Caenorhabditis elegans: one gene and its partner. The protein of the gene in region 2 purifies or fractionates together with the protein of the main gene of each other region. This does not show direct contact. Each region holds a gene or a part of one and is shown on either strand. Other genes may lie near its edges.

The links. The genes of interacting proteins can lie anywhere in the genome.
Region 1: the proteins of D1086.9 (region 2) and mks-3 fractionate together in Caenorhabditis elegans (co-fractionation; one large-scale study listed by BioGRID). This does not show direct contact.

Annotation. Positions count from the first base shown.
Region 1 is NC_003280.10:7,579,640-7,585,267, reverse strand, and holds mks-3 (Meckelin), read left to right. Parts: upstream 1-1,612; 5' UTR 1,613-1,710; coding exon 1,711-1,760; intron 1,761-1,840; coding exon 1,841-1,962; intron 1,963-2,025; coding exon 2,026-2,228; intron 2,229-2,281; coding exon 2,282-2,416; intron 2,417-2,463; coding exon 2,464-2,678; intron 2,679-2,739; coding exon 2,740-3,148; intron 3,149-3,195; coding exon 3,196-3,699; intron 3,700-3,748; coding exon 3,749-3,965; intron 3,966-4,006; coding exon 4,007-4,181; intron 4,182-4,235; coding exon 4,236-4,347; intron 4,348-4,397; coding exon 4,398-4,720; intron 4,721-4,769; coding exon 4,770-4,998; 3' UTR 4,999-5,023; downstream 5,024-5,628. Other genes in the region: F35D2.6 (Cation-independent mannose-6-phosphate receptor), read right to left, coding at 5,024-5,241, 5,288-5,488, 5,554-5,628.
Region 2 is NC_003283.11:14,102,654-14,106,845, reverse strand, and holds D1086.9 (Filaggrin-like), read right to left. Parts: upstream 2,577-4,192; coding exon 516-2,576; downstream 1-515.

The DNA.
Region 1 (5,628 bases), on a different chromosome or scaffold from region 2:
GAAAAATAGACATCTAGAAAACAAATGTTAAACTAACAAAATGATCAGAAATATTTTTCTTTCCATTGCATTACATTTTTTTTGCAAAATACAAGTTAATTGTTGGGTTATGCCGAGTCAAAGACGATTCACCAAAATCTATCAAAATTTTTGAGAACTGTTTTGCTGTACCAGTTATAACTCAACATCTATTGAGTTTCAAAAAGAAAATGATGTTGAATAATAATTGTGTAATATTTTGCTACATTTTATCAATTTCAAGTTTTTTGATATTTTCATGTTTACCCAAGTTACAGACCGTTTTTCGAAAAAATCCGATTTCGCTCATAAAGCTCTTCATATCCAACCTATCGACTTGAAATTTTGAAAAATAATCATTTTTTTGAGGTCTCTACAATGTCCTAAAAAATCTTTCAAAAAATCCTGCTAATCTCGAAAATCGTCCTTCGCTCCAAAAAATGAAATCGGACTTTTGCTTTTGTGCAAAAAAATCAAATTGCGATTTTTGGGTCGAAAAAAGTATTTTTAGAAAGCTGAGAACACGCTATTTACGAACTTAATGTTCATTTTGAATAATTTCTTCTCTTAAACGACCTAAAAATTAAACAAAAAGAACATATTTTTAATTCTCACGTGTAATTATTTGGTAATTTGCTCAGTGTTTCAATTGTTTTAAAGCAAATACATTAAAAAAATTACACGTGAGAATTAAAAATATGTTCTTTTGTTTAATTTTTAGGTCATTTCAGAGAAGAAATCACTTAAAATGAACATGAAATTCGTAAATAGCGTGTTCTCAGCTTTCTAAAAATATATTTTTCGACCCAAAAATCGCAATTTGATTTTTTTGCCCATTTCTCGAAAAGCAAAAGTCCGATTTCATTTTTTGGAGCGGAGGACGATTTTCGAGATTAGCAGGATTTTTTGAAAGATTTTTTAGGACATTGTAGAGACCTCAAAAAAAATATCATTTTTCAAAATTTCAAGTCGATAGGTTGGATATGAAGAGTTTTATGAGCGAAATTGGATTTTTTCGAAAAACGGTCTGTAACTTGGGTAAACATGAAAATATCAAAAAACTTGAAATTGATTAAATGTAGAAAAATATTTCATAATTATTATTAAAAATCATTTCCTTTTTGAAACTCAATGGATGTTGGGTTATAACTGGTACAGCAGAACAGTTCTCAAAAATGTTGATAGATTTTGGTGAATTGTCTTTGACTAGGCATAACCCAACAATCAACTTGTATTTTGGAAAAAAAATGCAATGCAATAGAAAGAAAAAATATTTCTGATCATTTTGTTAGTTGAACATTTGTTTCGTAGAAGTGTATTTTTCAAGATACGCCGGTTTGAAATTACGCAATTTCGCGAGTTTGGGTAGTTTTCTAATTCCTTTTTCACCATTGGCTAAAAGTTTATTTAAATTAGAATTATTTAAATGTCCAACTTATTTATTCGTTCAGAAATTAAAAATGGAATATCCTCCGTCTCCTTGTGACACCATTTGTATGCTCTCTCCTCCCTTTGGGTCTCCTGCCGCACAACATCACCATGACAACGTGGTTCGTTTCTCATTCCTGCTGCACAAATTGACCAAACCCTTGCTTTTTCAGTTACTAGATGAATTTAAAAAATATATTTACTTTAATTTCAATATCAGCATTTTCAAATGCTCAGTTTCGTTCACGAAACATTGCATTCACTATGCCTGAAAATTGTACGAGGCTTCAATATTTTAACAGGATTGAATTAAGGTTTGTTTGTTAATGGAAATTATGCCGTTTACATTTTTATTGAACTACGTATTACTTTAATAAAATGACCAAGTTTACAGATGCGAAATTTGCCCGAATACAACTATTCCATCAGATGACATGATGTCTTGTAAGTGCTCAAAAAACCAAATTGAAATTTTTAGAAATGGTTTTGTTCCAACTTGTGAAGAATGCCCAGAAGGTATGTTTCATGAAAAGTTGAATTTTGAATATTTATTTAAATATTTAACTCTAACTTTTACAGGAACACTATCCTCGCCGGACCAAACTGGATGCTTAAACTGTAATAATGGAACATGCCATTGCCCTTCACAAAGCACTCTCATTTTTCGAGACGCTTCTGGAAATCTTTTAACAAATGATGCATTCTGTGGAAACTGTGCTTCTGGCTTTTACAGAAATGACAACGGATATTGCACGAAATGTGAAACGTCGTGTTCCGAAATGGTTTGTTCATTCACATTTTAGTGTTTTCTTTTTGGAATACTAATCTTTTTCAGAATTCTACTAATTCCGATCAAGTTTATACACGAATCAAACTGCAAAACGGGGTCGAAATGAAATCTATCTACATTGAAAATCACTTGTCTACGGATGCAAAATTGTGTTCGGAAAGGAATATTCAAAGTTGCGAGGTTTCATTTTGAAAATTAGTAAATATAGAAAATAGTTTTATATTCAGGCAATGGTCAACATGTGTGTACTGCAAAATTTTGAATCAGGGTCTTCACTGAATGCGTGTGGACTTTTGGAAAATATTAAAAGATTATTCAATCCATGGCAAAATACATTGGATGCACTTGCAACCACTGATGATTCTGAATTGGAAAATGAAAATGTAATTGACCATCAATATTTGTTTCGTCCAGATTCTTCCTTCGAACTTTTCTTTGCAAGGTTTGTTTCACTTGAGCCTAAATTCATGAATTAAATTTTCCAAAGATTTGACGGATTTTAGGTATGATGTAAATGGAACATTTGATGGATTTTTCACTTCGGAAGACATATTTCTTCATTTTTGTGATGACTCTCTGAACCCATTTGCTCCATTTTTATTCGGAAGACGTTATCAAAAAGAATGCAAAATAAGAAAGGCAACATTCACAGATCCACGTCTTGAGAGAAAATTATTTGAAGTGTACTTGAAGTTTTCCGATGAACAGGGACATTCTAAGCTCTATCCTGTACACATTCTCAATAGTGCAGTACGAGTCAATGGACAACTTTTAAACTTTGCAAATAAAGATCGGAATCGTTGGGTGCTCACTCGAAGATTCTATTTGTTTGATGACTATTCGATGAAGTTTGACAATTCATCAAAACTTATGAGATTTGCGGCAAAAATTGGAATTAATGTAGTTCTACAGGTTATTTTAAATCTTCCCTTTTTTTTTAAACGAATATCAAATTTTAGAAAGAAAGAGATGGATACATAAATCCACCGTATTTAACAATTGAATATGATGATTCAACAGATGAAATATTTGAGAATAGTTTGGAAATAATATATCATAAAGATTCATCTGGATATGATCAAAAGTTGATAATAGCTCTTTCAATAATCATTCCAATGTCATTGTTCTGGTCAGCTCTGTGCTCATATAGTTGGGGAAGAAGACAAGGAAAACCTTCTGCAGTTGATGCTTCTTCTATTCTCTACTTTTTTGTTTGTGAAGTTTCGATTCTTGGAGATGTATTTTTCGTTTTATTCGGATTTATTGCTTGTTGGACAACATTTGCGTACAAAAGTCAGACTTATGTTTTGTACAATATGCTCAGTTATGATCAGGAAAAATTCTTATTTCATTATTTCATCGCTTCCCTCGTTTTAAAATTTTTTGGACTGCTGTTCACAATGGGTGCTCTTGTGTTTCAAGAAACTTTCTTCATTGACTGGGAAAGGCAAAAACTTAGACAGGCATGTTTGGCCAATACATGAGGAACCTCGATGAATTTGGATTTTTCAGACTGATGAACACGGAATGCCATTATCAAGAGATCTTCACAAATCAACAGAAGCTGAACCAGTTGTAGTTTGGAGAACATATTTGATTGCGAATGAATGGAATGAACTTCAGCAATATAGAAAAACGTCTTTGGCACTTCAAGTGATCACAATGATTCTTCTAATGGAATACTTTCAAGTCAAGAACTATGCTTTGGTTGAACCAGAGTTTGAGAGAGGTATGGTGAGCACTGAATACTTGAAATAAGCTTATTTCTAGATGCCTTCGACTCTTCAACAACTCTGAGCACTCTTGCCAGCTCATTAGCGGTTACAATTTTTGTCTATCTCTCATTGGCATTGCTGCAAGTTCTTGTCCGAGTTTTGATCGTTGAACGAATCGTGACCGACCCATTTCATAATTTTGTTGATCTTTGCTCTTTGTCAAACATAAGGTAAAATGCTTAAACCTACAAAAAAAAATTCTTCACGGCTTAAATCAATTTCAGTGTCCTTTCTCTGACCCATTCTCTGTATGGATACTATATTCATGGTCGTTCTGTTCATGGAAAGGGTGATGCTGGAATGAGTGAGATGAATGAATTCTTACAACGCGAGCGGGTTAGTTGGCGGTGATTTGTTTTACGAAAACTGAGGTCATATATTTTCAGAATAATTTATGCGGATTCCGAGGACTTGAACCAGGATCAGAGCTTCAGACTTTCACGGTAAATCTACCGAATTTGTTTCGTTCGAAATATGACGAAATTTTTGCGGTCTCCAAACAAACTACATCTGGTGTAGTTGGACATGAAGCGATCACGGCAAAAATGAATGCAACAGTCGATGCTCATTCCCAAATGAACTCATTTTTAAAGAAATTTGTAGATCATTCAATAACAGATATCGAATATGTTGTTCGGGATCGACCAGTCTTGGAATCAGTTTTAGATATGGAAATGAGTGATTCATCAATTACAGGCACATTCACAAGGTAGATACATATAACTCAAATTATTATTCAAACCAATAATTAATTTAAGGGATCCTGTGGAGATTGCATACTCCCGATGTTTTGTCTATGGAAATGAGTGGGCTTGGACTTCATTTGAATGTTTAACAGTTACAGTCTTCTATTTATGGTCTGGATCTTTATATCTTGCTGGTTTTGTTGTGTATGTTATTTCTCACTTGATCCGTTTGATTTTCGGTTACTTGTCAACGAATCATTTGATTAAGACGAGTTTAGTAGATCAACGATTTCTTGTTTAATATTAATTCATTTTTTTACGATTGTCTATTGAATTAAAAATAAGAAAATAATTATTAGCGATGTTACTTGATTTGTTCTGAATGCTGAAGAAAACCAGAATTCATCTGATAAAACTGATATGTCTATTGTTGTAGTTTGTTCTTCTGGAGTAGAAGTTGTGTTTAATTCAAGTATAGGAGATGCGTGAAGCTTTATGGGAGTTGTTGGCTTTCTTGACTTGAATGTGTGATTTCGGCAAGTTTCTGAAGTTCTGAATGGAAAATCAAAAAAAATCAAAATAACTCTTACGTTTCTCCTCCAAAACCATAATTAAATCTTGGTTTTTGGCAAAATCAATGTTTCGTTCGCACTGATCTCCTGTAGCAGCCATAAATAATTTGCCTTCATGAAAATGTGTAACAAAGCATTCTTTCTCATCACTACCACGATTTGAATATATCAAAAGACGGTCATCATGTTTCCAAGAAGCAAGACAAGTATATGAACGAGCTAAATTACATTTATGTATAAATTATCTTGGGATTTCGAAAAAAAGATCAATTGAGGTAACTTACAATCAAAAATAACTCCATCACTGCAGTGGTATGCCAAAATATCCATTTTTGAAGAATCGGTGCAATCAAATACAA
Region 2 (4,192 bases):
ACCAGTAATTGAATAATTATGAGGTGCGAAAATATATTTTCGCAGCTCATAATCTTTATAAAAGAGGGAAGGCTATCAGAAACTGCTATGATATGCGAGGAGAAGAGGTCCCATGGAATTATTCATTTTTGCGATCGAATCTTGATTCTGAAGATAATAAAACTCTACGAACTTGATAATGAATTTTTTTTCGGAAGCAAAGCTTTTTTTCAATTGAACGACAATTGTTGTAATGAAATCAACATTTTCTATTGTTGTCGAGTCTCACAGAATTAAGACAGGGCTAGCAAATCATTTGTAAGATACCCTATCAAATCACCTTTCAAAGTTCTGAAAATTTTAAGAATCTTATTACAGAGATCGCGAAGAATGAAAATTTATTATACTTTACAGATGTTTTAATATACAAATTCACATGAAAATGAATAGATTAATATACATATTACAATTTTTCGAAACGAGAGTTTTCGTCGAAGTGGAATTCACTCGAGCGGAGCTTGTCCATATGCAATATCTTACATCTGTGGGTGGAACATTGGGTCGATCTCAGCATGTTGAGATCCTTTTTCCCCGGCAGCTCGCTTCACAGGCTTTGGTTCAACATCAGCTTGTCCAGTCCCCTTCTGGCCGGCAGATCGGGATCCACGGTGTTGTTCTTGATCAGCTTGTTGAGTTCCTTTTTGGCCGGCAGCTCTGGATTCGCGGTGATGGTCTCCTCCGAATTGCTGGGTTCCTTTTTGGCCGGCATCTCTAGCTGGACGTTTCACCTCGGTATGAACTGATCCATGTTGAGAAATGTCTGCGGCACCTCTTGCTGGTCGTTTGATATCGGCATCAGCATCAAGGGATCCTTTGTGGGAATTGTCGGCAGCTCTTGCTGGACGCTTTGATTCTTGATCAAGTTGTTGAGTTCCCTTCTGTCCGGCAGCTCGGGATCCACGGTGTTGCTCTTGATCAGCTTGTTGAGTTCCCTTCTGTCCGGCAGCTCGGGATCCACGGTGTTGCTCTTGATCAGCTTGTTGAGTTCCCTTCTCTCCGGCAGCTCGGGATCCACGGTGTCGCTCTTGATCAAGTTGTTGAGTTCCCTTCTCTCCGGCAGCTCGAGATCCACGGTGTTGCTCTTGATCAGCTTGTTGAGTTCCTTTTTGGCCGGCAGCTCTGGCTGGTCGTTTCATATCAGCATCAGCGTCAAGGGATCCTTTGTGGGAATTGTCGGCAGCTCTTGCTGGACGCTTTGATTCTTGATCAAGTTGTTGAGTTCCCTTCTGTCCGGCAGCTCGGGATCCACGGTGTTGCTCTTGATCAGCTTGTTGAGTTCCCTTCTGTCCGGCAGCTCGGGATCCACGGTGTCGCTCTTGATCAAGTTGTTGAGTTCCCTTCTGTCCGGCAGCTCGGGATCCACGGTGTTGCTCTTGATCAGCTTGTTGAGTTCCCTTCTCTCCGGCAGCTCGGGATCCACGGTGTTGCTCTTGATCAGCTTGTTGAGTTCCCTTCTGTCCGGCAGCTCGGGATCCACGGTGTTGCTCTTGATCAGCTTGTTGAGTTCCCTTCTCTCCGGCAGCTCGGGATCCACGGTGTTGCTCTTGATCAGCTTGTTGAGTTCCTTTTTGGCCGGCAGCTCTGGCTGGTCGTTTCATATCAGCATCAGCGTCAAGGGATCCTTTGTGGGAATTGTCGGCAGCTCTTGCTGGACGCTTTGATTCTTGATCAAGTTGTTGAGTTCCCTTCTGTCCGGCAGATCGGGATCCACGGTGTTGCTCTTGATCAGCTTGTTGAGTTCCCTTCTGTCCGGCAGCTCGGGATCCACGGTGTTGCTCTTGATCAGCTTGTTGAGTTCTTTTTTGGCCGGCAGCTCTGGCTGGTCGTTTCATATCAGCATCAGCGTCAAAGGATCCTTTGTGTGAGTTGTCAGCGGCTCTAGCTGGACGTTGCGATTCTTGATCAGCTTGTTGAGTTCCTTTCTCTCCGGCAGCTCTTGTATTACGTCCGTCAAAGTGTTGAGTTCCCTTCTGTCCGGCAGATCGGGATCCACGGTGTTGCTCTTGATCAGCTTGTTGAGTTCCTTTTTGGCCGGCAGCTCTGGCTGGTCGTTTCATATCAGCATCAGCGTCAAGGGATCCTTTGTGTGAGTTGTCAGCGGCTCTGGCTGGACGTTGCGATTCTTGATCAGCTTGTTGAGTTCCTTTCTCTCCGGCAGCTCTTGTATTACGTCCGTCAAAGTGTTGAGTTCCCTTCTCTCCAGCAGCTCGGGATCCGCGATGTTGCTCTTGATCAGCTTGTTGAGTTTCTTTCTGCCCGGCAGCTCTTGCTGGGCGCTTAATATCAGTATCAGCATCAAGGGATCCTTTGTGTGAGTTGTCAGCGGCTCTTTCTGGACGTTTTGGGTTTTCACCGTCTGGCTGACTCAATTGCGATGGTTTATCTCCAGCAGCTCGAGATCCTCGGTGTTGATCAGCTCCAGAAATGTGTCCTTTGTCGGCTTCTACATCTCTACGAAGACGTTGACCAACAGATTTGGCATGAGAGAAGACAGCCAAGACGGCAAGGAAAAAGAAGGAATAAACCAACAACTTCATTGTTGGACTGAAGATTCCAGTAGTTTCAGACGATCTTATATACCGAAATCTTTCACTCCTTTCATTAGGGCGGTAACATCTTATTATTTCAGAAGTCGGGATTTTCGTGTTTTTCTGTTGTTATTCTAATAAAATTTACATCAACAAGAAAAGAGGGTAACGATCAAGGTTGGAATTATGGATTACAGTGATCAATATTCTCCGTGTACTCTTGACGCCCGTTTTGTTTTGTTTTCATCAAAAAATGGGAAACTCGCCAAGTTCTCCGTCTTCCCCAGGCGTCTCTGCAGAATCGTTTCGGATGATGTAAATGCTTTGTGCGGTCCATCACATTGTTTACTGTCAAGAACTAGTTGATCGCCGGATCTGATAAAGGTTTTTTGACCGCTTACTCTCTACGCTCTCTTGTTTATTAGTTATATCTAAAAATCTCATATGGAAACAACAATTCATCGAATTCAAACCTGCACATATGTTGTGAAGGTTGGGTACAGGTTTCTATTGTATGCCCGATAGTATAGTCTATCAGACATTTGTTTACTTGAAAATGAAATGGATCGGTGTGTCTTTCGTGTTCAGTGATCACAACAAAACAATATAGAGATAACGAATCAGAATGAAATGTGGTTGTTGGCAGTTCAGGTTTATTCACAATGTGAGTAGAACGCTGAGAATTTCAAATAACACTACATATACTTAGTGGAGCTTATATATACTTGCGAATTTTCCGAACGCCTGCCATAATTATATCCGGCATCGTGTTTTTCACAAATGTTTCAATCTATTATAACTGTAAAACTAGAAACTTTACTAGCTATTTGTATGAAAAAGTTTTTAAACATTTATACATTTGGGACAATAAGAAAGAAATTGCCTGAAAAGTAATTATAATAAAAATTGAATGTTTCACTCAAGAATAAAACCAAAAATTTGCATATAAACTGATATGTATTCTAAAACTTTCTTAGAAAATTGATGATTATTATGTTTTCCAGTTCAAGCTTTAAAAAAAATTTTCAGCAGCTTCATGGTTTTGTACTAACAATCAAACAAATCTTCTGCAGTTGTTTGTGACACATTCTGAGTACTTTTTGTTTTGTTTTCGTTATAATTTATAAATGAAAACTGGTAATTTTCAGTAGTTTCAAGAAAATACGAATGAGAACAAGTTTTTTTGCATTCTCTGCATTGCCCACATATTTGAAAACAAGATTAAAACCTATCAATTTTCAAAGACAGTAAACAGTTCAAAAATTACTCTAGATCATTTCGATGAAAATGATATTTACTATAAATTAGTGCTACACACTGATTAATCTGAAATTTCTATTTGGAGACAATTCCATCAGAGAGATTAGACGGAGTAGGTAGCATCGTGCTTCCAAAAATGTAATTCTAAAAAAGTAAAGTTTAAAAAGATGAAAGTTTCTTGATTTCTTGTTCATTGAACTCATCTGAATTAATTTTTATTTATATTCGAACACATTCAAATACTGTGAAAATTTGCATTATATACAATCAAATTTTCTTTTTTTGTTGATATTCTGGCTCTACCAGCTACATGTAATTTTGGAGTTGTACTTGTTGTTTTGAACAAATTTAAAAAAAAGTAGAGT